Notamacropus eugenii: one gene and its partners. The protein of the gene in region 1 purifies or fractionates together with the protein of each later gene. This does not show direct contact. Links are inferred from orthologs where the notes say so. Each region holds a gene or a part of one and is shown on either strand. Other genes may lie near its edges. The genes, in order: ZC3H18, RBBP6, SRRT and VIRMA.

Evidence for each region.
Region 2: the proteins of ZC3H18 (region 1) and RBBP6 purify together in Homo sapiens (affinity purification with mass spectrometry; 3 studies listed by BioGRID and IntAct, counting the BioPlex papers as one, with this or other methods). This does not show direct contact. The link is inferred for Notamacropus eugenii from reciprocal best matches to the Homo sapiens genes ZC3H18 and RBBP6.
Region 3: the proteins of ZC3H18 (region 1) and SRRT purify together in Homo sapiens (co-immunoprecipitation; 4 studies listed by BioGRID and IntAct, counting the BioPlex papers as one, with this or other methods). This does not show direct contact. The link is inferred for Notamacropus eugenii from reciprocal best matches to the Homo sapiens genes ZC3H18 and SRRT.
Region 4: the proteins of ZC3H18 (region 1) and VIRMA purify together in Homo sapiens (affinity purification with mass spectrometry; 3 studies listed by BioGRID and IntAct, counting the BioPlex papers as one, with this or other methods). This does not show direct contact. The link is inferred for Notamacropus eugenii from reciprocal best matches to the Homo sapiens genes ZC3H18 and VIRMA.

The regions. Positions count from the first base shown.
Region 1 is NC_092872.1:705,297,987-705,304,811, forward strand, and holds the start of ZC3H18 (zinc finger CCCH domain-containing protein 18), read left to right. Parts: upstream 1-3,813; 5' UTR 3,814-4,043; exon of another isoform or gene 4,044-4,151; intron 4,152-6,825.
Region 2 is NC_092872.1:59,381,055-59,388,230, reverse strand, and holds the start of RBBP6 (E3 ubiquitin-protein ligase RBBP6), read left to right. Parts: upstream 1-4,170; coding exon 4,171-4,336; intron 4,337-7,176. UniProt on the Homo sapiens protein: E3 ubiquitin-protein ligase which promotes ubiquitination of YBX1, leading to its degradation by the proteasome.
Region 3 is NC_092873.1:79,879,751-79,887,558, reverse strand, and holds the start of SRRT (serrate RNA effector molecule homolog), read left to right. Parts: upstream 1-4,801; 5' UTR 4,802-5,141; intron 5,142-6,589; 5' UTR 6,590-6,618; coding exon 6,619-6,740; intron 6,741-7,808. UniProt on the Homo sapiens protein: Acts as a mediator between the cap-binding complex (CBC) and the primary microRNAs (miRNAs) processing machinery during cell proliferation.
Region 4 is NC_092875.1:158,466,619-158,473,827, reverse strand, and holds the start of VIRMA (protein virilizer homolog), read right to left. Parts: upstream 3,011-7,209; 5' UTR 2,824-3,010; coding exon 2,761-2,823; intron 1-2,760. UniProt on the Homo sapiens protein: Associated component of the WMM complex, a complex that mediates N6-methyladenosine (m6A) methylation of RNAs, a modification that plays a role in the efficiency of mRNA splicing and RNA processing.

The DNA of each region.
Region 1 (6,825 bases):
GCTATAAATATTTTTGACCATGTGGGACCCTTTCCCATTTTTATGATCTCTTGGGGATACAGTCCTAGTAGCAATATTGCTGGGTCAAAGGGTCCAAGCCCTCTTAATTCTCATGCCTTCTATTATTTCCTCTTTATCCTGTACAGTTTGTATATATTTGTTTGTATGTTGTCTTCCCCATTAGGTTTTACGTTGCTTTTGCCTCTTTTTGTATAGCTGGCCTCAGGACAAAATAAATGTTTATTGATTCCCCAATAATACATAGGTTTCCAGGGTTGCTTCACTTAGTCTGGGTATCCTGCATACAACACTTAAATGCTTACTAGATGCAATGCCTCAGGTATTTCATAAGGAAAGTCCATAGAATTATCAATATAGGTTTTAAGGCTTCTGATTAAAACAGTTTTTGATAGTTGACTACTCCTTCCTTCTAGATACTGCCTCCTCTTTTTTTCTAAGTTTTCTCTTGGTTCTTTTCCTACCTGCCTGACCTTTTGTTTTTCCCTCTTCTTGACTGAATCATCATTCATATCACATTCCCATGAGTGTATCCCAAAGACCCTAGCCCCTCTGCTTTCTTCATTCTCTCACTTGGTGACTGCTTTCAATTGGAAAATGAGATTTCGATGGGATCAAGGGTAGGAAGTAGCAGGAGGCAATGTGGAGGTAACAGACAATGGAGGACTAGGCTAGGTTAAGGGTAACATTTGGGCATGAAAAACTAAATAAGTGGGAAGATTCAAGGAGAGTTCAAGGTGGGGTTTTCCAGGGCCTATGGACCATTGGGACTCAAATTCTTTTGGGGTAATGTGTGAAGGTCTTGCCTTGGGCTGGTACCCCATCAGACTCATCCAATTTCCTGAAGCATCCAAACTCAAAATGGAATTCATCCTTTATTTTTTTTTTTAAATCACTCTTCCAGACTTCTCTATTTCTGTTTAGGTACCACTATCCCTTCAGCCACTGAGGTTTTATATACAATGTTTCTCCTTGGGAGGCAGCTCTGTGGCCCAGTAGATATAGCTGGTCCTGGAGTCAGGAAAAAATGAGTTCAAATTTGCCCTCAGACACTTATTACCTGTTCTACCCTGTAGGTAGCCTGGGCAAGTCACTTAACCTTTGTCTGTCTCAATAGCCTAATCAGTAAAATGAATATAATAATAGGACCTATCTCCCAGGGTGGTTGTAAAGAACAAATAAGATACTATGTGTAAAGTGTCTAGCACAGTGCCTGGAACATAGTTGCTGCTGTGCTTTTTCCTTCATTCTTGAAGAGGACCATGATATCAAGATGATGACATGACTTGCAGTTGATTTTGATTTGAGTTTGGGAGGGCTGTGCAAGGTCACCAACCTCACTCTCTCCTTCAGAGCCATCTGGGTTGGCCTGATTTCATCAGGACGGCTAGAGATGGCCCAAGATGCAATGTGAGACCTTGGCCTTTTAGGCTAAGGTCTTAGTACATTCTCACTGAAGAGGCCTCTTTAAGTAGTCAAGGGATGACCCCTTTAATAAAAGAAAAAAATCAAACTGGGAAAGGAAACCTCATGGTCCCTGGGTAAAAGAGAAACAGTTACTATTTAGTATTTACATTCACTCTGTGCTAGGTGGGTGGGGACTTGTTGTCAAAGCAATTTTTCCTAAAGGGTGTTTTATCATGTTAGCACTGCCACTTCTAACCCAGCCATAATAAACTCCCATCCATTCAATAAACATTTTTGCTTGTTATTTAGTCGTTTTTCAATTGTGTCTGACTCTGTGACTTCATATGGGTTGCAGGGGAGGCAAAGATACTGGAGTGGTCTGTCATTTCCTTCTCTAACTTGTTTTATATAAGAGGAAACTGAGGCAAACTGGGTTAAGTGACTTGCCCAGGGCAACACAGCCATCGTCTGAGGTTAGATCTGAACTCAGGAAGATGTCTTCCCGACTCCAGGTCTGGCACTCTGTCCACTTCCTCCACTAACTGCCCAAATGTTAATAAGCATTTATTAAGTACCACCTATGTGCCAACACAAGTAAACAAGCTCTTGAAAATCTGATAATCTCTTTTCTTCCCTTTCCTCCCCTTCACCCACGGGACTCTGATGGCTTACAGCTGTCCCCTGCCCCGCCCCTGATCACAGACATGTTTAGCATTCCATTTTCCATCTCCATCACCTCCTCTTGGAATCCTTTTCAGCTCAAATACTGTCTTCTCCACCAGGCTTAGGCCCTTCTTGGTCTCCCTCTGGTTTGGGGGACCTCCCTCCCCCCACGCTCTTCCCTCTTCCCCAAAGCTACATTGTATCTTCTTTGTATGGTTGATTGTTGTCCTTTGTTCTCGAAGAGGACCAAAATGACATCACCATGATAAGGTCAAGTTTCAGTGTGTCTGACTGTGGCTGATCAGACCAATACAAACTTGGAATGCTCTACCACAAATTGGGCACAGATAGTCTATATGAACATTTTGGGTGGTTACTCCAAATTTGCACATCCTATATTTCCTTTGTATTGTCTCAATTCTGTTTCGCTCATAGAGCACAGCACCCTTTCTGATGTGGGCACACCATGCTGAGTGGTCCTATGACAGTGTCTCCCATGTCCCACAATCAAATCCAAAGTTCTTGAGAGAGACCTTGAGAGTGTCCTTGTATCACTTCTTCTGAACACCATGTGATTGCAACGCCCCATATGAGTTCGCCATAAAATAGTCTTTTTGGCAAGTGCACATTTTACATTCAAACAACATGGCCAGCCCATCAGAGTTGCACTCTCTGAAGCATAGTTTGAATACTTGGCAGTTCAGCTAGAGCAAGGACTTCAGTCTCTGGTACCTTATCCTGCCAGGTGATCCTCAGAATCTTCCTAAGACAGTTCAAATGAAAACGATTCAGTCTCCTGGCATGGCGCTGGTAGACTGTCCATGTTTCACAGGCATACAACAATGAGGTCAGCACAACACTCTGTAGACCTTCAGTTTGGTAGTCAGTCTAATACCTCTTCTCTCCCAAACTTTTCTTCAGAGCCTCCCAAATACTGAGCTAACTCTGGCAATGCATGTATCAACCTTATTGTCAATGTGTACATCCTTGGAAAATATACTACTAAGGTAAGTGAACTTATCCACAGCATTCAAAACTTCTCCATTTGTTATGACAGATGGTTCCACGTCTGGATGGTGTGGTGGTGGCTGATGGAGCACTTGTGTTTTCTTGGTGTTAATTATTAGGCCAAAATTAGCACAGGCAGTAGAGAACTGATCCATACTTTGTTGCATCTCAGCTTCCGAGGCTGCATTGAGTGCACAATCATCTGCAAACAGAAAATTCCAGTCATCAATGGAGTGAAACAGGGCTGTGTGTTTCCTCCCATGCTTTTTAGCATGATGTTTTCAGCCATGTTGTCCAATGCTTTCAGTGAGGATGAACATGGCATCAAGGTCAACTACTGTACTGATCGTAAATTCTTCAATTTGAAAAGGCTACAAGCCAAGACCAAAGTGGAGCGAGTGCTGGTGCATGACTTTCTGTTTGCCGGTGATTCTGCACTTAATGCAGCCTCCAAAGCTGAGATGCAACAAAGTATCTTCTTTTCATGTGCACACTAGAATGCTAAGCTCCTTGAGGGCAAGAGCTGTTTCGTTTTGTCCTTGACTCTCCAGCGTGCTGAATGGTGGCTAAAACCCAGAACATATATACTGCATTTTTATTGGTTTCAAGGCCTGATTGACCCATATGCCTCCATTTATCTTCCCCCAGTGCCTCCCGCCTCCCTTTGCGGCAAGGTTTCAGGCTAAAGGCAGCGTCTGTCTCTTTAAGCGTGGCACGCACAGCACGCAGGGCACTCACGGTCCGGCACGGCGCGGAGAGAAGAGGGGGCGGAGCGGCCGGTCCAGGCCAGGGAGAGAAGGAGGGAGGAGGGAAGCCCGCTCTCTGGAGAGAGGCGGTCGCGGCCTGATGACGTCGCACAATGGCCGGCCCCCGCGGGTAGTGGAGCCCGTTTGTTCCGCCCGCGTCGCCCCGAAGCCGGAGCCGGAGCCGGAGCCGAAGCAGCCAAGGTCTGTGAGGAGCGGAAGGACCGGGAAGACGCCTCGCCGCGCAGCCGTCCCCCCTCCCCCGCCCCGTCCCCCTCCTCTCCTCCGCGGCCGCCCTCGCGCTGAGGTGAGGTGAGGAGCGGGCGCCGGGGACTGGGCGGCGGCAGCGGCGCAGGCCCGGCCTGGGCTGGAGGCCGCGGCGGGGGCCGGCCGGGGCGGGGGGAGCGGCGGCCCCGTACGAAAGGCCGGGCCGCGCGCGGGGGCCTCGGAGGCGGGGAGGGGGGAGGGGCTCGGGGCTCGAGCACTTCAGGGCTCGTGGCTCCCCCGGCGCGCGCGCGAGTGTGTGCGCGTGCGCGCGTGGGGCGTGGGGGGGAGGGGCCAGGTTCGGCGCCCGGCTCCGTGGGGGGAGCGGCGCGCTCGGGGCTGGTGGGGTGGGAATGCAGCCCCAAAGCACGCGCGGTCACACTCCCTCACTGCCCCGGGAGGGCGGGCCGCTTGCGGCCGAAACCTGGAGACGCTGGCTGCGCTGGGGGCTGGCCGCCCGTGGGGGTCGCTCTGAGCGCCTGCCTGGCTTTTCCGGAGCTGTCACGGATGCTGGGCCCGAGCTTTACTTGACCCGTGCTGACCGACCACAAAGGCCAGCGGCTGCGGTCCACGAGGGCTTCCCTCCGCGGAAAGTTGTGGCGTGAGAAACTTTTGGGTGGAATTTGCTGCCTTTCCTCTCTGGAGCGTACTGGCTGGCTGTGCTCCAGGCCACTCTTGCACCTTTTAGAAAGAAGAAAGCGACAGCGTAACTTCCATGTCTGTCTGATTAAGAAATGGAAGCAAAGTGGGAGGGTTGTGGATGGGCTCGAAGTAACTGTAGCCATGCTGGGGAAAGTGAAGGTTTCCGCTCTTGTGCCTGAGCTCACGCTGAAACCTAGACTTTGCTACAGGGATTGTCTGTGCTTTGTTGTGGAGCGTGCAAGTTTTATCGCATTTACCTTTAAAAATATTCCTACAGCAGTTTAAGGTTCACAAAGAGCTGGAAGTCTTAGTGCAACTGTTACTTCATCTTACAGATGAGGAAAGAAGGCTTCTGAGAGGTCAGATCGTCGAGGTCTCTAAGTCCATTGTCAAGTCGTGCATTTAAGCGCTTGCTATGTGTCAGGACCTGTGCTAATTTAGGAGAATTTTACATTTTTTTTAAATAAGAGAAGAGAGTCTCATTGTGTGTGCGTTTGTGAGTGTATGCCATTTTGTGACATATCATTAGTTTTTTTTCTGACCAGCAAGCCTTAAGTTCCTTTTTAGTGATTTAGCTCTTTGCTTGATGATGGGACTGGGATCACCCTACCCTTGCCCCATCTGAAAGATTGGGGTAGCTCAGAGGATAAACCTTGACTATTGATTGAGCCAGCTTCATCAAGTCCAGGAAACCTTTTATCTTAAGTTGTTTGATAGCCATACAGTTTCCTGAGAAGATGTGTCCATAGTCTTTAAATGGTCATCTGTAACCACAGAGAAACAGTATTGCCGCTTCAGAAAAGGTGCAGTAAAGCCTTGCCTGTGATCAAAGTAGTTTTTGACTTCTTTCAGCAATTCTTGATTGTTCAAGCATGAATGACTGCCCTAGGACATTGGGGGAGCCATAGAGCAATGAGTCTCATAGTTAAATTTGAGGGAAATTAATGCTCAGTCCCCAGCCATACTGTTTCCTTCTGGGAGTGTTCACCTTTTGGGTTTCTCTCCTTTGTGGTCTCGGAGTTATGGCTGTAAAGTAAGAATGCTTTAAAAAGTAAAATTTTAAAAATACAGCCAAATGAATATTGACCTTCAAACAAGTCCCTTGGGAAGCTATATACTTATTCCAATAATGCTGTTATTGGGCAAAACATTTTAAGGAGTCCTCTTTGCCTTCAAAGCCTTTACAAGCTAGGGAAGAATATCAAGGTGATTATTTATAGTAGCCCTTGCTTTTTGGCTAAAAATATTATTACTCAGCTCAGTCTTTCAATTATTCATTAGATTTGAGATTGCTTGCTTTTTTACTCTTTCTGAATTCAGATTGTTCCCCAAAGGACAAAGACTTGCCACTATTTAATATATTTGAAAATACTGCCATATACACTGAAAGAGAAGTTTTAAAAGTGAGTTTAAATAGAACTGTTACTAAAATTTCCTTTTGTCTTATAAAGAGCCTTATTTGTTGGAATAAACATGTCTTCTTGCAGAGTGACTACATTTTGGTTTTTTTCATAATTTAGATGTAAAAACAAAACCAAAATATTTCTCTAGTTGCTTTATGATGGTGTGGAGGTGATACTGCATTCTTGAAGGTTGTGCCAGCAGAGCACAAAGGTCTAGCAGGTCCTAACAAAATTTTGAGTAGGACCCTGGCAATGGACTTGTTTGAGGACCAGCCAGACCCAGTGAAGTCTTATCACCAGAACCCTGATAGGGTGATGAATTTATTTGGTCCCAGAATTTTCATTTATGTAATCTATTTAGGTGTGCAGTTATCACAGACTTTGTATGGAGAGAGCGTTCACATTGCTGAAATCATGAATCGCAAATTTTTGCTTCTTAAAAATCATTCTCATCCTTTCAATCATATCTCATATGTCATAGGCAATTCCTTAAATGTCTGAACAAAGTCCTGAACGTTAGGCTTTAAACCTTGACATGAATTCATGATCATAGGATAGATAGTATTAGTTCATCTAAGAAGATAAAATTGGTCAAAATTGTTAGAAGTCAGCTAAGACTTTTTTGTTCAGAAAGTCTCATTTGTAAAACTAAAGTAAACCAGGTTTTTCTGAATTAG
Region 2 (7,176 bases), about 650 Mb from region 1:
ACAGGACTTCGTCATATCTATCCATACCCCATCCACTTAGCCCTTTCATCTTTTTATGTATCATCTTCTTTTGATTGTGAGCACCTTGAGGGCAGAGACTGACTTATGACTTTTCTTTTGGATCCCCAAAGTTTAACACAGTATCTGGCACATAGCAGGCACTTAATGCTTATTGGCTCTGATAGATCATGTTTATGGTTTTTGTAAGGTTCAAAAACAAAAAGAAGGTGAACTTTCTTCCTCTTCAGGGCCACAGACCCACAACTTTATCTAGCTTTGGTATCATGAGAAACCTCCTCAAAAGTCCCATTCCAGTGACTCATTGTGGCATGGATGATCCTGGGTTCTAAGACTACATCAGTGTGTATGGCATAATGGATGCAGAACCAGCCTCAGAGTCAAGAAGGCCTGGAGTCAAGTCTCACTTCTGGCACCTATAGGCTGAGTCACCCCGGACAAGTTATTCAGCCTCTCAGTGCTCCGAGCAACTGTCAAGCATGATAATTTACTGAGTACCCTTAGACCAAGGAGTTTCCTCATTGAAAATTCCCTACACCAATAAAATCACAGTTCTAGGCAATTGCTGGCAGGGATCAAGAGCTGGCAAATCTTTGTTATGATCACCTACTGTTGCTCTTTTCGTTCATTCCATCCCTCCTGCTCTGGCCTCGTTCTCCCTTCACTCTCTTGATCCAATAATTGACCAGTTCTGTTCCTTGCCAAATGCAAAACCTGGATTACCCAACGCTGTAACTCCCCAACCCCATGCTAGAGTTCTGCTAGAAGAACTGGAGAAGAGTCTATATTATGTAATCTCAACTGGGCCCTCACTTTGGCATGGGAATCCTTTTATTTTTCCCTATCCCACTTCTTGGTTGATATTCCAAGCTATCTCCTTTATCCCTAACCCACTTCCTCTTAGCAGATAATCTTGCTTCCTATTTTGTTGAAAAAAATCAAGGCCAACTACCATGGGCTCTCTCTTTTTCTGTACATCTCAGAATTCCTCTATCACCCCTGCTTTCTCCTCCTTTACTACATTCTCTGAGGAAAAGGTGACCCTCTGTCTTGCTAAGGCCAAGCACTTTACTTAAGTGCTCTGAAAGTTTATATTTTTGATAATTCCTTCTCATCAGTAATCCCTCCTTATCTATGGGCACCTGGCTACAAGAGTTAACTACTCTCCTCTAGCCTAAAAAACAAAAAAAATAACCAACTCTTATGTAGACTTTACTATCTCCTCAAACTATTAATTATAGTTTTTTCCCTTGAACAGCCAGTCTCCTCCTAGAAAGGGATGGGGAACCTGCTAGAATGTCACCCACTTTTCTTGCCCCTACTTCTTTCTCATTTTAAACCCCTTGTGATACATTTCCAACCCCACTACTGATGGAAATTTCTCTCTCCAAACTTATTAACAATTTCTTAACTGCTAAATCCTATGGGCTTTGCTCTTTTGTAGCCTTTGATGATGTGAACCAGTCTCTCCTCCTGTGTATTTTGTCCTCCCTTGTCTTCTATGGCATTGTTCTCTCCTATTTCTCTTCCTACCTGTCTGTCTATACCTTCTCAGTCTCCTCTATTATATCTTCATTTATCTTTTGCCACCTAAGTCTGTTCCCTCTACACTCTTTTACTAATCTCATCCATTTCCATGAGTTCAATGATCATCTCTATACATATGACTCCAAAAATCAGTACATTCAGCCTTCATCTCTTTTGAATTCCAGTTCTGAACTCCCTGCTGGCCATCTCCACTTGGATGTTCCACTGCCTTCTGAACCTCAACATGTTCAAAATTCCCCCTTCTCTGAACTCCCCTATTTCTGAAGAAAGCGCCTCCTTCCTCCTGGTAACCCAGATCTACATGCCAAGAGTCATTCTTGACTCTTACTTCTTTGATGCAATGACTCAAGAAAAAGATTGATGTGAGAGATATTGTTGAGGAAGAAATATCAAGATTTAGCAATGATTAAGTATATGAGCTGAGGGAGAACAAAGAGTCAAGAGGATAAAAAGTTACAAACCCAGTTTAACAGGAGACTGAAACCACTTCATTTGTTAACTAAGTGAGAATACTTGTTTGAATCCATCTGAACGTGTGTGGCCCCAGGCAAGTTGTTTCATTAAACTTCTCTCAACCTCAGTTTCTCATTTTGTAAAACAGGAATAATAATAACACCCACCTACTTTCTAGGGATAAAATGAGATGATATTTGTAAAGTATTTTGCAAACCTAAAAGCCCTGCAGCTTTACAAAAAGAATCTCATCTAATCTTCAAAACAACCCCGGAAGGTGGGTGCTGTTACTATAATACCCATTTTACAGATGAAGAGACTGAGGATGACTTGCCCAAGGTCACACAGCTAGCGAGGTGTCTAAGTTTAGATCTGAACTCAGGTCTTCCTGAAAGTAATACATAGATTGTAGGTCCCTTAAGACAAGAACTGTTTTGTTGGGGGGGGGGGGGTTGGTTTGTTTGGTTTTTGCTTTTTCTTTCTGTCCCCAAGTTAGCACCTAGTAAGCCACCTGAACAGAAGGCAGTTAAGTGGCTCGGTGGACAGAGTGCCTGGAGTCAAGAAGTCCTGGGTTCAAATATGACCTCAAGCACTTCATAGCTGTGTGACCCCGGGAAACTCACTTAACCTCTGTTTGCCTGAATCTACCGGGGAAGGCAACGGCACACCAGGAAAACCCACAGAGAGCAGGGCCCGCAGGCTCCCGGAGAGGCGCACGTCTCCGCTGCCCCGCTGACTGCGCAGCGCTAAAGGCCCTCAGTCATTTCCGATCCGGGGGCCGCTGGAAGCCCCTCGGGTTGCGGTCGGTTCGCCTTCTCTTTGCCTTCTCCCCGCCACCCCCCTAGCCCTCCAATGAGCCCCTCCCCTCTGCCTCCTCCCCACCCCACTCCAAGCCAGATGGTCTCTTCCTTCTGCAAACAGGGTCTGCCCTCGCTTGTCATAATGCGCCGGGTCACGTGGCGGGGGACAGCGAGCTTTGTGACGCGCTGAGGCTCCGCCCCCTTTCCCTGTCCCCGCCTTCCGCGCGGAGCCCGTGCAGCGCCTGCTTAAGAGACCCCGCACTGGGGCGCTCAGGCTGAGTAGAGCAGCGGCCGCCATAGTGACTGGCCGGAGTTGTCGCTGCTGAAGGGCTCACCGGCTGAGGAAGGAGACGTCGCCATCGTCGATTTCGGAGCCCGAGGTTTCTGGCGTTCCCGGCCCAGGGAAGCGGAAGAGGAAGAGGAGGAAGGTGGCCGCGGCGGCCGGGGGCCCGCACAGCGTCCCTGTGCTGGCTCGGGGCTGGGGTGAGGCGAGGCCCCGGGCCTAGTGCGGCCTAGTCCCAGCTTTGTCTGTGAGGAGGCGGCGGCGGTCTCCGCGGCCGAGGGGGAGAAGGAGCCGGAGGCGGCGGCGACCCCGTCAGGGAGGCCTCTCTGCCCCGCTTCCCCTAGGTTTGCGGGGTGCTCGTGTCTCCTCCCAGCGGGACTCCGTGTACGGGGAGGAGGAGGAGGGGGGAAGGGGGCCGGGGCGGGGGCCCGGGCCCGGGAGCTGACGCCGATCGGGAAGAAAACTGCAGTCGCCGGGAGCCGAGCTCGGCCAGGCGGCCGCCCCAGGAGGAGACAGACAGACAGGCAGGCAAACAGGAGGCCTGTGGCCTTGGCGGACTCTGCCCCGTCCTCCCCTCCTCCCGGGGCCTGGGGTCGCCCTCGTTGCCGGAAAGAGACAGAGGGGAGGTGGCGGCGCGATGGACCCCTGATCCCTCTGGGGGGGACTCGAACTGTTTCCCTGGACTGCTGCTGATTGCGCCGCCCGCTTGCCTGTCTCCTGCAATCCCTTAGCATGAGCGAGGGGGGCCCCGCTGGGTGACATTGTACGGCTTCTCCCCGTTGGATCCCTTTCCTCTCCTTTCCCTCTTCTCCCTCCTCCCCACCCAGGCCCTCCCTCCAAACTCCCTTCCCCCATACCCTCCCGCTCCCATCTCTCCATGAAGTGATTTGAATATTTTGGGGGGGATTCTTGGTTCAGAACCCCACTCGTGGTGGGGGGGCAATAAGGCCTAAGGTTCCCTCAGTTTCTGAGTGTTTCTGTGTGTGTACATATCTCTTAAGTTTATAAATATACGTATAATTCAGAGTGTCACGTCTCATCGCTGAGCCTTAGGGAACTTTTGGCACCATGTCCTGTGTGCATTATAAATTTTCCTCCAAACTCAACTATGATACCGTTACCTTTGATGGACTGCACATCTCCCTGTGTGATTTGAAGAAGCAAATCATGGGGAGAGAGAAGCTCAAGGCTGCTGACTGCGATCTACAGATCACCAATGCGCAAACGAAAGAAGGTATGAGCCCCGCAGGGCCCTAATCAATATTGGTTTTCGATTTGGAAACTTTACTTGTAATTTTGCTTTGCAGAGGTTATGTGTGTTGGCAAAGTTATTTTTTGTAAACCTTTAAACTCTTAGAACATCTTAGAGTAAAAAAAAACCATAGAAAATGTGAGGTTTTAATCCAGTTCTGGATCTCTTATTTCCGCTTTCTTTGCAGATTAACTGAAGTAAGTGAATGATAGGTTAGTTTTTGTCTAGTTATACAACTTGTGGCTTTTTGGATCTGCACTTTGAGGCTGTGTGCTGCCCCTTGGCCATCTGGCTCCTTCTTAACACTTGCCCTAGTGGAGAGGGAAGGGGAAAGACCTTAGTCTTGGTGAAAACTGCTTCACAGCAAGTCTTGTTAAAGGATTTTTGGGGAAAGGATGACCAATTGCTTCGGTTTCCCTCATATGTAATAAGATGGTAGGGTTCCTTAGTCTTTTTTATTTTAACTCCCTTTATCTCCTCACCTCATCCCCCAAATTATATGCAGTACTAAGGTGGGGGTTCTCCTTTATTAACTGCCATAAAGGAATTTCTTCCACCTAGTCTTCAGTGTTGAAAATGTTTGGGTTCTTTTGTGTGTTTTTAGAGTCCCTAATCAGTGGTGATCGTAAGAGGTGCTCAGTTTTATACAATTTTTCTAGTTAGAATTTTGAGTGCTGATTTTGAAATTAATACCTAGGAGACTTTTAGTGATTTTTGAACATGCTGCAAAGAGGCCAGAAGTTTCCATATTGGCACAGATTAAGGAAAACTTCCTTGTTGAAAGCTCTTAGTTTGAATGGACAATTTGAAGATTTTAAAATAATCATTAACTTAAATGGTAAAGAATTGTAATAGATTCAAAGGAATTCAAATAGATAGTTGTTTTGTTTTAAATTACATTTAGTGGGGGTTAAGATTTTTTAAAGGGAGTTGTTGCCTTGTGTAGTTAGAACATTTAAGATTTTGAGTTCCTAAAAGTCTCACTACATCAAACCTTCTCTTTAGTGGGATTCCCTAGGTAGAGATGCTGAAAGTAAAATTTTAATGTTAATTTTTAAATAGGTATTCTGGGAAATGTTGTGAGATTCATTCCTTTAAAATATCTACTTTAGTTGATCTTAATTGTAAAATGATAGGTTTCATTTCTCCAGTGCATCTATAGCTATCCTAGAGTTTTGTTAGATCATAGCACTATTGGCTAGAGATTTGGGAGTTGGTTTGTTTGGAGGTTTTTTTTTAAACACCAGTGACCAGTGACTTTTTTGTTAAGGGTACAACACTGTAATATGTAATTTAAGCAAAGAAGAATTTTGCCCCTTTGCAAAACATAGGTACTTTTTATTCAATATTTAGAAGACATTTTTTGTTTTAACCAAAACTATTTTGCTTTAAAGTTAAAAAAATTGTTTTTTATTCATTGATTACAATGCATTGTATCATTTACCATATTCAGCAAGATTTGGAGTATTTAGTAGGAAAAGGAAAGGAATGATGTCTTCCATCACTGTACTGATGTGAACAAGTTGTATGGGGATTTATTTGAAATACTTTAAAAAATATTTGTGATTCCTTCATAAAATTATTCACCAACCGTTTATTAAGCACCTCCAGTGTGGCGCGCACTGTGGATATAACTAAAAATTAATTTTATTTTGGGTACTAGTCCTTATTCCAGCCATCAGTTTGAGCACTCATAAAGAAACAAATGAAAATACACTTTGAAAGTGGTTTGTAATCTTAGACTTTACAAATAGCCCTTGAGAACTTTAAGTTTCCTACCTTAACCTTTAAGTTTCATAACTTACTTTATGTTTCTTAAAGCTTTATAATGACTCCTTTAAGTATTTTTTCATTTGGATAAATAATACATTTGGATGTAGCATGCTTAAATCAAAATTCACTTGTAGGAAGATGTATACAAGGCATCTGATAAATTCTTACATTGGTAAGTGATAGCCTATACTAATATATAGTTTGCAAATTATCAAACTCTTTTAGTATAGATTTACTCTATTAGTGCCCCATATGATTTTAACAGCATGTTAACTTGCTAAAAGCTCTTTTAATATAAAAACATTGGCTATTTTTATGAGCCTTATTAACTAAGAATTAATGAATAAGAATTGTGTCACTCAATTTTATTTTGAGACTATAATTAGGTTCTAAATACTGACTTTCTATAAAACCAGTACACTGATAACATCTCACCTTGAGTTCTTTAGTGCTAATGCAGAATTCCATTTTTAACTGGAACAGCCAAAACAGGTTTCAAATGTATAACTTCCAATGTAGAAAAGCCATTTCAAAATTCACACCAAGTTTGCTTCAAAATTTCACTGGATTACAATAAGACCTCACTGGTTTGGCATATTTGCTATGTTTCTAAGGGTTGGTGTTTTGTTGTTTAATCTTACGTAATATTTTTAATGTATTTCTAAGTAATAATTTACCTAGGCTAGTGCGATTGCTAAATGTCCTTTGGGAGCCCACTTAAATAAGTGAGTGGTGATAATTTGGGTATTAATAAGGCTTTTCTACAGCTTAATCTGTTTAAGAAAAAGTTGTTCAAACGATTTCCATGCATTCTTTTTCTTTTCTTCCTTGTATGTGATATCAGGCTAAGTTATATTTGAGCCCTATAAATTTGGAATTGGTAGGTACTGAGTAAAAGTTTCAGTGTCAAGATAATGTGAGAATTACACTGGGCAGTGACAGTCAATCTTCAAATTGTTAGTCAGATCTTCTAGCATCCTACTTTTTTATGTTTCATCTTATTTTAAGTTTGCAATACCATGGTAAGTAAGCACCATGGTCTGTCATTT
Region 3 (7,808 bases), on another chromosome or scaffold:
CAGAAAAAGTCATAATGTGAGTCATTTGTCTATACAAACAGCATAGGAGGACTTGCAGAGAGGTATATAGATGTAAGGGATGGGTTTGGGTCAGGATCATGCACTCCAGTGCCCAGGGAGAAGCCCAGACCCACACTGGGACAACTAATAGACCCAAACTACAGCACTGCAAAAGGGATAGAGGCAAATCAGCATCTTTGTTGCCCCCCTACTCACATCTGAGTCACAGATTCAGAGTAGACTGAGATCTGTGAATAAGGGTGAGACTCTCTGGTACAGAGACAGGGAACTTTTTTTTAATAAAAGGCAGTTCAGAAACAATCAGAAACAGTACAGTTCAGACTCCAGGCCTGAGTAGGGTCTCATTTTTAGCATCTATTCCAGCTCATAAGAATCCCAGCCCAAAGTGGAGTCTATAATTCTGCCATTTTGAAAAAAAAAAAGAAAGCTTTTCAGCTGACTGATAAGGATTAAATACAGCTAGTCTGAGCATGCTCAGATACAAACTGAGGTAAGGAACTTGCAGAGATCAGACCAGAGGGTAGCAATTAGACTTTTCTCTAGATCCCACCTTGGGAGCACTGACAATTTACAGTACTCAACCTGTCCTTGAGATCCTGGAATAATACAACACCTAATATCTTAAGAAAGCAGCGATAGGGCCAGTCCAGACCCTGTCTCCAGAAGTGTCACAGAGTCCAGCCCTAATATCAAGTCTAAAGTTAGGAAGTAGGCTGAAAGAACAAGTAAGCAAGCAAATTAACAAATAAAAAGAATCCCACCATAAAATTCTGTTATGGTGGCAGGGAAGCTCAAGACATGAACCCAGAAGAAGATAATGGCTCCAAAACATCTACAAGTAAAGCCTCAGTGAAAAACCACAGCTTGGATAAAAATTCAACTAAAATTCCTAGAAGAGATGATGCAAAAGTTTTGTTTTTTTTCTTAAGAGTTTTAAAATGGTTTTATCAAGGAAAGGGAGCACTTGAAGGGAAAAAATGGGGGGGAAAGAGAGCTTTAGGAAAAAAGAATTGGAAAGAGAATAGCATAGTACGAGAGGTAAAAAACCTTGACTAAGCTAGCATTATTATCAGAATGTTAAGATTAGAATGTAACTACAAATAATAAATGCATATTACTGCAGCAAATAATGCTTTATGAAAAACTGTGTAACAAAAATTCAAAGTAACATATATGAACTCAAAACCACTAGTTATTTTTCCATGTATCAACATATATTACAACTTTTTCATGTATTAATATATATTATACAATGATACATATAGCAAATATTTAAAATATGTATCTAGAACACCAATACAGTTCAGAAAGTATGTCACATAAGGAAACGAGTATGTGTTAAGTCCTACTATGAACCAGGTACTTTAGGTGGAGTAAGCTAGTTTGGATAAGCCCTTTATTTCATAATTATTACTAAGATTCTAATACTTGAAAATTGTTTTTAAAAAATTATTGCAGGTAAAGTAACCAAGAAAGTATAAAAAGGTATTCTTGTGGACAGGCTTTTGTGTATAACAGAAATATGACCATGTAACAGAGAACAAGGCTAGCCTATGAGTAATGTGTGAGTGTGTGAGAGTGTGTGTGTGTGTGTGTGTGTGTGTGTGTGTGTGTGTGTGTGTGTGTGTGTGTGTGTGTGTGTGTGTAGCTGGGTGATTATTTTCTTAAACTCATATTAAAAATGGGGTATTGGTTTGGAATTACAGCTATCACATAAGATATTTTAAGTCTTTGGTACAGGTCTTTTGAGATTTAGGATAAAAGCCACTTTCCCTGGGGTGAGGGAGGGGCAATTCTATACCTGAGGAATTCTAGACCTGAAGAACAAAGATTAACCTAATTTAGGTCAGTTTAGCTTTCTTTCTCACCAAAGACTGGATCCTGGTTCTAAATGATCATGGTCTGTGTGATAGGTGATTATAAATCTACGCAGTTCACAGTGATTTTCTCAGTGTTTAAAGGTGAACATAAGCAGGAGTGGCATTAGGAATATCAGATGATGTTCAACAAAGATGATAATGCTTCCTGCATAGTCGCTAATCTTCATTACAGGGCAGGAAGGATTAATTATTTTGTCCTACTGTAATGCCAATCCTGGCAGCACACCTGAGGACTGCTACTGTGAATAATTTTTAAGGATCTAATGGCATAGTATAATGAATTCTCTATTTATTCAGCAATAAACATTTTTCAGTAAAGTAGCATAGCATTCATAGCAACATCCTTAAGCAAAGTATATCATCTAATATATATATAATACTCAGTATGCCATATGGCTCATAGCATATGTCATTGCATCCCCAAAGTCAGGATGTCCTAGGCTAGGGTCTTGTGTAGCATGATACATCCTTGCATCCTTAAGAGGTAGCAGAAAATAGCACACTATCTACTCCTAGGTCACTATAAGAACAATCTCCTTAATCAATACACAGTGTTGTGTTGTAAAGTTCTCATCTTGACTTGAGGCTGACTTCCAAACTCCATGGCTCCTCCTCCATGGGCTGACCACTCCAGCTCTTGCCTGGGTTCACACATAGGCAGCTGTCTGTTCCTGCTCCTTGTCTCATGTCCCAGGGACTGTTCCACTCCAAACTCTTCCTGCTTCTGTCTGACAGCAGGTTCCAGGGGCTTCTGCCTGCAGTTTCTGTTTCTAGGAAAACAAAGCTTAACAAGGCTATAACAATATTTGTACACATTACCAGCAGCATTATCTCAGTTCACTTTAACAGGGCTTAAAAGGGGCTTAAGGGAAGGCTCCTTCCCATAGGTAGATTTCAGCTCTTCAGCTCAATTCTCTCATAAAGACCCACAGAGCTTCTGTCTGAGAAATTAACACAGACCAACAGACAGGACTTCTGTCTGATAAATCAACCCATCAACAGAGGGAGTGCTGATATCACAAACATTCTTTCTATTAGGGCTCCCCACAAGCAAGTTCTCCTAGCCTGCTCACACTCACCTCTCTCTTAGCTCTGCTTCTCTCTCTACTCTCTCCAAGCAATCAATCAAAGACTCTTCATTCAATTAAAGGCACTTGATTAGCTAAAACTCAATCCAGAAAAGCCAAGTAAAAGTAATTCAATACTACACATTTTTTTCAAAGCTGCCAACTTTTCTTTGCTTCCTTGTAGGTTTTCTTTTGTTCTCTGCTGTGCACTCTTTGCACTTATTTTCTTTCCCTCCCTCCCCCTAAAATTAAGAGGATAAATATATAAACACAGATATCCACAAATATACACATATTACAATATACACTCATACACATATATGTAATGCAAACTATGCTTATTTCCAGTTGTCATCTATTTCTCTGAAGGTGGAAAGCATTTTGCTTCATAAATCCAAGTTTTTCCAAATCAACCAGCTTATTATTCCTATACCACAGCAATATTCTAATCCTATCTGAGAGATTGTCTATGGAAGTTTTCCCCCAATTTTCTGCATTCCTTCTATTCTTGGCAGCATAAGTTTTATTTGTACAAGAAAATCTTAATTTAAAACAATCAAAATTATCCATTTAACACTTCAAAAATGCTTTCATCTTATAGTATAAGGTCTGATACTATTCAATCTACTTCCTTTACATGTTTTCCCCTGGTTTCTTTGAAGTTTCGGACCTTTTATTCCTCCAAAGGAACTTTATTATTTTTTCTAACTCAGTAAGATAATTTTTTGATAAATAAATTGAGATGCTTTTCCCAGTCATTACCAAAAAGCTATTCATGCAAAGATACCACTCTCTTTAAGTTTGGCGGGGGACATCTTTCCATAGACCAGCAAGGACGCAATTAGGGAAGGATGACCATTAACAATAGAAAACTCACTCCCATGAGGAGAACATATTTAATTATTCCGTATATCCTTTTTTAGTGAAGGGAAAATAGTTTAAATATTGCCATTCTGGATCAGCCCATTGATTAGATAAGGCATGCTTTGCTTGAAAAATATGATGTTTTTAAACTAAAAATTTGCAGGAACTTCCTGATATGAGGGGCAGATCACAATATTAAAAATAGTGACATTACAAGGATTCTGAAAGAATGGGCCAAAGAACTAGGGAATTATATAATACCATTCACGATAAGGTCTAGGGAAACCATTATTGGTATTTTGTGAATTATGTATTAGATCCACAGACGACACCTTATATAATGACAGTAGGCAAACTAATCTACGTCCCTTTTTTTTAGAGGGTGGCCTTATATGTAAAATGAGTTTAATTCATTTTTAAGAGATCACTGGCAGTATATGTGTCCTTCCCCATTCCATAAATGAAATATTTGTAAAATTACTGTCTGGCATCTATTCTCCTGCAGTCTGACTCTTCGTGATGCTGTTTTCTTGGCAAAGATAACTTTTGACAGATGAGGAAACTGAGGCAATCAGAATGGACTCGCCCGGGGTCACACAGCTAGTGTTTGAGGCAGTATCTGAAGGCCCAGTGCTTCCTAATTACAGGCCCAGCGCTCTATCCACTGCGCCGCCTAGCTGCCCTGCCTGGCACCCAAATATAATAATATTTGCTCCTTCCCCTCCCCCATTAGATCGTAAGCTCCTTGAAGGCAACAGCTGTGTCATTTCTCATCTCTGACTCCCAAAAAGCTTAGCACCGAGTCTTGAACATTACGTGTGCCAGGAACTGTAAGTGAACCCAACTGAAGACGGAACAAAACGCCGTACGCCTCCGCTTCCCTTTGCCCCCTCTCCAGGCACTTCCGCCTCCGTCCATCCGGGAACTCTCAGCCCAGGCCCCTAGAGAAACAGAACGCGACCCAAGAGCGGCGCATGCGCTGACGTCGACGTTGACGCCGACGCCACAGTCGCTCCCAGCAGACACTGCAGAAGGAACGGCGCGCGCGGACTCGGCCGTGAGCTGTTTTCGTCACGTCTTAGTTCTGACCCTCCGGCCCTCCCCGTCGCCCCCGCGCCCCTAATTGCCCCGCTTCCCCCTGCTGTGTTCACGCAGACTTGTGTGAATCCCGCCTTGGATTCCGCCTCCCCCTCCCCGACTCCCTCAGCAGTAGAGGGGATAAAAGACGACGCGGCTGCCGCCGAGCCGAGCCGCCTTCGTTTCCTGGAGAGGAAAGGCAGAGGCCGGCCTGGCCTGAGGTGGGCCTGAGGTGAGGAGGGGATGGGTTTCCGAGGCGGTGCCTGGGTTGCGGGGCGTTTCCGTTCCTTCCCCCTCCATCCCGTGTGGGGCCTCGGTTACCTGGTCTGCTGCGGGAATGTAGCTTTACAGGCCCCAGAAGATGGGGGATAGTGCAGGACCTAATTACATTCTCCCCCCTCCCCCACCCCGGTCACCTTCCTGGGTGCTCTCTGAAAGAACTTGGAAGACTACTTTATAAATATCTTTTATGGTTGGTGGCTCAGAGCTGGGGGAGTACGTTCTGAATGAGGTCCAGGAGCTGAGAGCACAGCTTGGGGGATGGGGGGGGGTGTCTTTGTGTGTCTGTATCTGTTTGAACGCTTGGAAGCTGTGGAGAGGAGAACTGGAAGATCTCTGAGTGGGACTCTTATCTTTCTTGGAAAGAGAGATGTCTGAGGGAACAAGAGCTAGTTTGCATTGTTGGGGATGGAGAAAATTAAGGAGCCTTGGTTAGGGATATTATTGTAAAGTGAACCGAACTCTGGATTTAAAGTGGAAAGACCTGAATTCTAGTTGTCTGCCGTGAGAAGGAATGATTTGGCTTTAGTCTGATCTGTAAGAGGATTGGGCTAAATAATCTCCAACGTCCTTTTATCATTGCGTCCCTTTCAACTCTAATCTATGATTACAAAGTGATTTTTTTAGAGTTGAGCTAGATAATCCCCACGCTCCTTTGTCTCTGGGTCTTTCAGCCCTAAATTGATGATAAAAACTATGATTTTACCAGGATTAGGGATGATGAGGCTTAGAACTGTCTAGAGGATAATTGAAAATAACACTGGACCAAAATTCTGAAAGTTTGGTAATTTCCTTTTTAGCCGTTCTTTATCAAGATAAGCATTTTGCAAACTTTAAAGGCTGAGTAAAGTCTTTTTTTTTTTTTTTTTTTTTTGCTCTGATGAGGGAAGGACTTGGGAATGTAAGGGTAGCTTGTTGGTAGTAGGGCCATGGCAGGTTCTCTTGAACACGTGGAAGAATAATATTAGAAAAGAGTAGAAACCTAAGGGACCCTCATGGTGAAGGGAGGGAAAAGGAAGAGAAATTGTCTTTTTAGATAAGATGAGCAGGAGTGGGGCAAGGAATCTTATTTAGAGATACATAGGGGAGCAGTGGCTGCCTTATGGGGGGGCAGAATGGTGAAATTGACTTGAGTAGGTCCAGAGAGGGGAGTGTTCTATACTCCCTTCTCCCTGGTGGCAAAGTCAATGTGGCTCTTCTGTAGATGGAGCACTTGGCCTGCATTTAGGAGTTCAAATTAGCCTCAGATACTTACTAGTTGTGTAACCCATTCCTAAAGCACCCACCTCTAAGGGTTGTTGGGAGGATCGATTGAGGTAATATTTGTGAAGTACTTAGCATAGTGTCTAGCATGAAGTAGGAGCTGTAATGCTTATTTCCTCCCCTTTTGTTTACTACCAGGTGCTTCTGGTCACTTTCCAGCTTCTGCTATGGGTGACAGCGATGATGAGTATGACCGCAGGCGAAGGGACAAATTCCGAAGAGAACGAAGTGATTATGATCGTTCAAGGGAAAGAGATGAGAGACGGAGGGGAGATGACTGGAATGATCGGTAAAATAGTCCGATTCTTTTATATAAATATTTTCTTTATGAGTTTAATCATCAAAAACCTTTCAAACATATATATTAAGTGTATTTTATTATGTGCTTATTAAATGTATATTAAACCAAACTTTTCTTATGTATAGTTTGATTTTGTTTTTAAGTACGGTTAACAAATTAATGTTTTCTGAGGGATTGCCTGAAGTTTATTTTCTTACGTGTATTTTTTTCTGGTTTATTGATTTTCCTTCTTACGGGGGACATCCCAGTCACTTCCCATTAAATTTTCCCCAGATCTTTCTTGTAACATAAGCCTAGTCTAACAACTCGTTTGACATCTCTGAAAATGTATGTTCAGATCCAAACTTCTAGCTCATGACCAGGTCTCCAAAGTAATGATTGGTCACTGTAATGATCAGAATTCTAAAGACTTTTCATTGTTGTTTTCCTTTACAATGTTGTTATCATTGTTTCCCTGGTTGTTTACTTTTCCTCTCCATCTGATCATATAAGCCTTTCTGAGGTTTTTGGAATTTTCATACTCATTTTTTACTATGTGATAATATTCCATTACTTAGCTATACTTCATTCCTCACTTAATGTTTTCAGTTTTCTCCCATAAAACGTGGTGTTTTATATGTATGTGTGTGTGTGTGTGTGTGTATCTGTATGTATATATATATATACATATATATATGTTTTACATTTGGTCCTTTTTTTCAGTGTTCTCTTTGGGAGACTATGCCTTGTAGTGGTATGATTGGGGTCAAAAGGTGTGCCCATTTAATATTCTGAGTTATTTTACAGAACATTTAGACAAATTCACAGATCTAATAACAGATTCATCCACAACCCAACAAGAGGACACTCTCATTTTGTCATTTTTGTTTTGTCATCTTTGCTAATATAATGGGTATGTGGTGAAAAATCTGAGTTGTTTAAATTTATATTGCCCTTATTGTTTAAAATCATTATTTTGGTTTTCCCACCATACTCTCCTAAGGTTTTGTCCCATGTTTTAGATCTGAGCATATCTCTCAATGGGGTCAGGAGGAAGCATTGGGAATTCTGAGCATC
Region 4 (7,209 bases), on another chromosome or scaffold:
GTCAGGGAACCTAGGATTTCTTATTCTGTCAACATGCTGAGTAACCTTGGGAAGTCATTTCCCTTTTTCTAGGTCTCAGTTTCCTTTTTTATAAAATGAGGAGTATGGACTACATCAATGATTGCAAAGCATATGAGTAACTCTTTCTTTAAAAAAATCATGCAGAACTCATGATCATGCAGAACAGTTGTGGTACTACTGTTCAGTGACTGAGAAAATATATGACAAAAAGTTTCTTTGGATGCAATAAGGCTTCTAAATTAACTTAAAATAATATTTTATTATATTCAGACAATAACATGTACATATACTTGAAAACAGCAATATATAAATTCAACTTCTTTTTTATTTAATCTACTTGATATGTTTTCTCATTTATTATACTGAGTCACACTACATATTCTGTTGGCACTAAAGAGCAAAAATCACAATCACATTTACAGAATTTGGGACAGAAGAAACCTTAGTGACCTTCTAGTTCAACCTATATATACACAAAAGTAATCCCTATATAGGATATATATAGATATATATATATAGATATATATATATACACACATATATATAACATATAACATATGCAAGTAGTCATTCAGTCTCTGCCTCAAGACCTCGAACTAAGGAGAAACCACATTTCTTGAGGCAATCCATTCCACTTCTGAACAGTTCTAATTGTTGGGAAGTTTTTCTTGACATCAAGCCTGAATTTTCCTCTCTGTAATCTTCATTCAATAGCTACTTAGTACATCCTCTAGGGACAAACACATTAAGTCTAATCCTTCTCTCACCAGAAGAGCACTTCAAAATACTTGAACACAACTATCATGTTCCTCCTGAGCCATCTTTTCTTTGGGCTAAACTGACAGTTTCTTCCACCAATCCTCAATAACATGCATTCAAGATCCCTCACTATCTCAGTTGCCCTCTTTGAGCACTCTCCATCTTCTTATCAATGTTCTTCTTAAAACGTAGTCCCCAGAATGGAATGCAATACTCAAAAGAAGTCTGATGAGGACAGAACACAATGGTACAATCCCTGTCCTGAAACATAGTTTATGCATCACTTAATGGAATCCAAGATCATATTAGTTTCTTTGGCTGCTACAATCACACTGAGTCAGCTTGCAGCCTACTAAAACCCTCAGATCTTTTTCAGAACAAAAGTTACCTAACTATGCCTCTAATACTTATAAATTGATTTTTTTTGTGTACTCAATTCAAATCTTTATATTTACCCCCCTGAACTTCACCTTATTAGATTCAGTCTAATGCTGTAGCAAGTCAAAATCCTTCTGCATCCTGCCATCCAACGTTATCCTCCCAGATTTGTGTCATCTTCAAATGTGACGAACATGCAACATACTCCTTTATCTAAGCCAAAGTCACTGATGATACCTGGCAAAAAGACATTACTAGGATCCTCCTACAGTAACTCCTCCAGTCTTCTTGGACTACAGACTGGGAAATATTGGGCTAGGTAATCTTTAATGTCTCTTCCAACCCTAATGTTACTAAATTTCTTGCAGACTACAACCAAATGTTATGTCTTTCTATTCTTTACAGCAAAACTTTATCCATAAGAAATATTCAGTAAATATTCACCGAATACTCTAATTCCTACAAAAAGACACTACTAGAATGACCAACACCCCCATCAATGGAGTACCTTTTTTCTTTTTTGTGTTATTTTAGAAGCAGCAATGATTTTGTGCAGCTTCTTTCACAATTTATACAAAGTTTTCTAAGAAGCACAGCAGCTTGCACACAGTAGGTGCTCAATATAGTTTTAATGAATGAATTGCCCTGCCTGATCTCCAGTGTAATAATGAAAGTAGCCTCTGCAAAGTCTAGCTCACATTACATAGGCACTGTAACACAAAAAAGGGTAAAGATCACTGTTCTACGGTAAATGTTAACCTAATTAGCAAAGTGCTCTAAGAACTGAAGAAAATATGCAAAAAAAGAGCTTATGTGCTGCTGAACTAGTTAATTAAATGGTTCTGTGCACCCAAAAGCAACTTCTAAAAGCGAAAAAAAGGACCAGAGGAGTTACTTTTATTCAGGTCAACGATTCCCCAATGGACTTCCTCTGAACCCCGTTCTCTTCCAAATCTCCTAAGCCGTCCCCCTCTCCGAAAATCTGGCACAAAGAGGATGCCCAAGCAATAAGTCTTATGGACTGACAGTGGTCTGACTCGGAAGACTTGCTCAATTCCCATAGTAAAACAGTTGGTATCTGGACTTTCCACCTAGCGTCAGTAGGAAAAATGGAGCTGGGGGTGGTAGGGAGGAAATTAAGCGATCAAACAAGGATCCAACAAACCCGAGGCATCAGCTCTACCTCTCTTTCTCTCCCGCAATCAAGGTGCTCTCCCTGACCTCTCAAGGACACGGTCCCGGGAGACCCCAGGAGCCACGGTCATTCATTCCCCAGTTTTATCCTCCCTTCGCTGCACTGCAGGCCTAGAAATGACTGCAAGAAGGCAGAGGGAAAAGGCCGCGCTATGAAATCGCCCTCCTCTTCCCTACGGCGACAACCCCCTCTCGGGGGCGCCGGAGGTGCTTCCCTCCCCGTTCCCCCACCCACAGCGGGGAGCGAGGAGCAGGGCCGCGGCCGCCCCCGGGCTCCATCTGCAGGGCGGCCGCCCCGCGGAAAGGAAGAGGAAGGGGACAGCAATGGGGCCCCAGGCCCGTCCCACGCGTTCCCAGAAGGGTCCCCGGGGCAAGAGGAAGGGGCTAGGCTGAGCCCGGCCTCATTACCTCAGCGCTGGGGTGCTTGAAAGTGTCTAAAAATAGCAGCTCCATCGCCGAGTCCACCGCCATGTTTGCCGCGGGCGGGGGCAGGGGCAGAACTTCCGGGGTAACACAGCGACCGCGGCAGCGCAGCAGCCGTAGGACCAGCACTTCCGTCGCCGGCGCGCCTGCGCCGACCTCCAACTCCCCCTTTGCCTTCACGTTGTCCCTCGGCCCCGCCCCGTCCCGTTACGTCGCCGTCTCCTTCCTCCACCCTAGCCCCACCCCGGGCCTCCGCGGAGGAGAAGGGTCAGAGCATCTCGGCGATGCTACGGGTGCCCGAGAGAGCCAAGGGGATGTGGTGGTGCGGTGATGTGGACCGCGCTGGGCGAGTGGGCGGCCGGGAAGGAGGAGGAAGCTTATCTTTCTGGGCCCACAGTTATGGGCGCGTCCTCCGCCGCCGCCCTTAACGCTGGGACCTCGTCCCGTAGGCCAGAGAAGGCGGGAGACCAGTCCTGCGGCGCGGCCTCGCCCGTTAGATCTGGGGAACCTGCAGCGAGTCCACCTGAGTGCCCGGAGCCCGCTGTCCCATCTGGAAAATGGGTTTGGGGAGGCCGGCCCGGAAGCCTGGCCCCTGAGCCAAGGGTCCAGTAGCCTGTCGGTGACCCCCGTACGCTGTCACCCCAGGCTCAGAACGACCACAAAACAAACCCCAAAAAGCGTGCGGCGGAGGTGCGAGGTGGTTCATTAGAGCCGCTACCTCCCTGGGTCGTCACGTGAGCCAGAGCAGCCCCCTTCCGGACTGGGCTCCCTGAGCGCAGGACCGAGGACTCGCCGGACTGTCCGGACTGTCCGTCCTTACGCAGAAGGCAGGGAGCCTTCTCCTGCTCTCCGTTAGTGAGCCCATCCGTGTTCATGGGTCAAGTAAGGCTTGGTGGCAAACAGTGAAGGGCTTGCTAGGTGCCTCTGATGCCCCCTGGGGCCCTGATCGGACGGAGGAACCTGGAAAGTCGGGAAGAGAATGGGTTCAAATCCCGCCTGGAGTATCTGACTCTAGATGAGCAGCTCACCTTTTCCGCTTCAGTTTCTTCAGCCATAAAATGGGGACAGTAGTAGTACTTAGCACCCCAGGAGTGGCGCTTAGGGGGAGAGCAGGCATTCATACTCCACTTGAAGACTTCCAGTGTGGAGTATCTATCCATTGTCTCCCAAGGCAACCCATTTCACTTGGAACAGCGCCGATTTGTCAGAAAGGTGTTCCTCGAACCAACTCTCAATCTCCCCATCTGCAGTTTCTCTTAGTCCTGCCTTCTGGGTTTAAGGGGAACAAACCTAATCTCCTTCCACATTTCAGCAATTTCGAATATATGACAATGGTCATACTCTATCCCCTGATCCTCTCCCTTCTATGCTCAGTCTCCTCAGTCCTTTGACCAATCCCCACTTGGCAGGTTGGCCTGCCCTCTCACTTAGCTTGTCTAGCTCCAGTTCCTTAAAGTTTTTCCTAAAATGTGGCACCCAGAACTGAATACATCACTCCACATGTGATACAACCAGAATAAACTAGAGTAATATTTCCTGTCTTGTTCAGAATACTGTTTGATCTCACACTAGAATTTTTGGTTATCCTGTTCCTGTACCGATTCGCATATCAAGCTCCCAGTCCACTAAATTTCTAATCCTTTTTCATACAAACATTTCCCTAGGCAAGTCTGTCTCATCCTATAAAAGGGAAGCTGATTTTTTTAACCCATGTAATATTTTACATTTATCTTTTTTTAACTTAATCTTTTATGTTTCATTCATAGTTCTAACCTGTCAAAATCATTTTGGATTCTATCATTCAACATGGTTAGCTGTGCCTCAGCATTTTGTCATCTGAAAATCCGATAAACATACCATTTATAATTTCATGTCATGAAGCGAAGGGAATTAATCTAAAGAGTTCCCTTTGGTCATTTTGATAAGCATATTTCTCCTTTGGAGTACAAATGCTCAATAAATCAATTATTGTTGACTAGGGGGAAAGCTTTATAACTACCATTTTTGCTATGCCATTTGAGTAATGCTTTTGCTAACAAACTGAATCTACTGGCTCATTGGGGACTTCTAATCTAGTGTTAGGAGAATAATACCGTGTGTAAAGCACTCTGCCAAAATCTGAGAATACAAATAAAAAGATATGACAGTCCCTGTCCTCAAGGAACTTATGTTCCAATGGAGGGGACAGCAGATGAAGGTTTCAGTTGCAAATCAAATGAAAAGATCCTGTAGTCCTTAGAATGCAGCAACAAAGCAGATTCAATTCATTTCAATTCAATAAAGATTTATTAAGCATCTACTATGTGTCAAGCCCTGTACTAAGTACTAGAAATACAAAAAAAGACAAAAGACAGTCTCTGTCCTCAAGGAGCTTACAGTCTAATGGGGAGACAACATGCAAAGAAATATATACCAAGTAAGCTACATAAAGGATAAATAGAAAATAATTCACAGAAGGAAGACATTGGAATGAAGGGGGATTAGGGAAGGCTTCCTGTGGGAAGGAGTTTAGTTGGGACTTAAAGGAAGCCAGGAAGCTCAATAAGTGCAAGTGGAAGAAAGAGAATTCAAGGCATGGGGACAGGCAGAGGTGAGAAATAGAGTGTCATATTAATGGAACAGCCAGAAGACTAGTGTAACTGTATCAAAGAGTATGTTTTGAGGAGTAAGGTATAAGAAGACTGGAAAGGTAGAGTGGGGCTAGGTTATGAAGAGCTTTAAATGCCAAACAGCATTTTATATTTGCTCCTGGAGTCAATAGAAAACCACTGGCATTTATTGAGTAGAGACAACATGGTAATGCTTTTTCTTCAATATCATTTCCACTATTTTGTGATGTCCAACCATTTAATAGTACCAAGGACTTTAGTGACAGGAACTTTCTTCTCTGGTTCTTCAATAGTTGTGACTACCACTTGCAGAGCAGATGATGTGCATCTCCTGCTTCCCAGGATGATGGCTAAAGATGTTGGCCTGGAAGCATTGCTATTACAAAGGCTCTTGGATTCTGGGCCCTGCACTGTCTTCATTGAATCAGGGGAGGTAGTGATAAAGTTAATAGTGGTCATTTGACCTGCCTAGTATATACCTCTTGTCTCTCCCTCAAGGTGCCTTGCTGCTTCTACTAGGCTGACTTGTCTGTCCTATGAGTGGTAGTTAGCATGGATATTTGAGCATACCTCTCCCCTAAAAGAATGGACATACTAATTGTTACCTTGTTGATAAACCAGGTATGCCTCCTATTTGAGTTTTAGGGACTGGGGCTGTCCCCAAAAAGATTAGCTAGCTGGGACTCTGGAGATTAGAGTCTAATATAAAGAACCACTTCTCTGTGGTAAAAGAATAACAAATTGCATTCAGCTCTTTTTGTCTTTTTTACCTTTTTGCCTTTTATTTTTCTTCTGCAGTACCGAGAGTATCACAAAGGTATTGGGTGGGTAGTGGGTGGGTTGGTAGTGGGTGGAGGATCAAACCTCTTCTTCCCTCCCCCCCAACCTCCAGGAATAGTTGATGTCGACTTGCAGTAGAAGCACACGAGAAAATATCTGCTTACCTATGATGTAGCCTAAGAAGAGGGCTCCTGAGAGCAGACTCTTTCAATCCAAAGGCTGAAGTATCAGATCATAGGTTGAAAGTCGGAGAAGTCTTTGGAGGTCATCTAGTCTAACACCCTCATTTTAAAGATGAAGAAACTAAGATTCAGAGAGGTTTAAATGACTTTCCCCTATGTCGCACAAGTAGAAAGAACCAGAGGTAGGATTCAAATATATGTCCTCTGACAGTGAACTAGTACACCTTCCAAACTTGCAGAAGCATGTGGCAGAAGCAAAAATGTGCTGACTGATTCAGCCTAAAGTGGTTCATGGACAATGTCCTAAATTGTTTCTTTGGCAGTATGATCCTAGAGTCATTTCCTAGGTAGAGGAGGGAGATTTTTCTGGGCTGTTTGGAGTTGTTTGGGGATAACCCTAAGTTCAAGCATATTATAATACAGATATAATAATATAACAGGTAAATCAAGATTTCATAACCAGCATGATATGGAAATCTAACCTCCTAGCCAGTCAAGAGACTGGCAGCCCTAACCATAAGGATTGCCCTTAGAGCAGCCTTGAGTAAAAGATTTCAGGAATCAGACCTTCTGGGAGACAGAAGATGATTTACTTAGCAGCATTCTCTAGAGAAAAGAAGAGGATCACCAACCTGGCCTCCACAATTAGAGAAACACTAAGAGTTAAAGCCACATTATGGGATAGGGGTAAAGATAGAGACCATGCCCACCCCTCTTTCTGTACTGAATGATTTAAACAGTGCAGAGCTGATGGAAAAAGTTTACTCTTAGGCAATATCACAAGGTTTGGGAGTGTTAGTAGTAGTGTAAGTTTGCTGACCATAGGGGATGAGTTCTAATAGTTGCAATAGATGAGATATAGG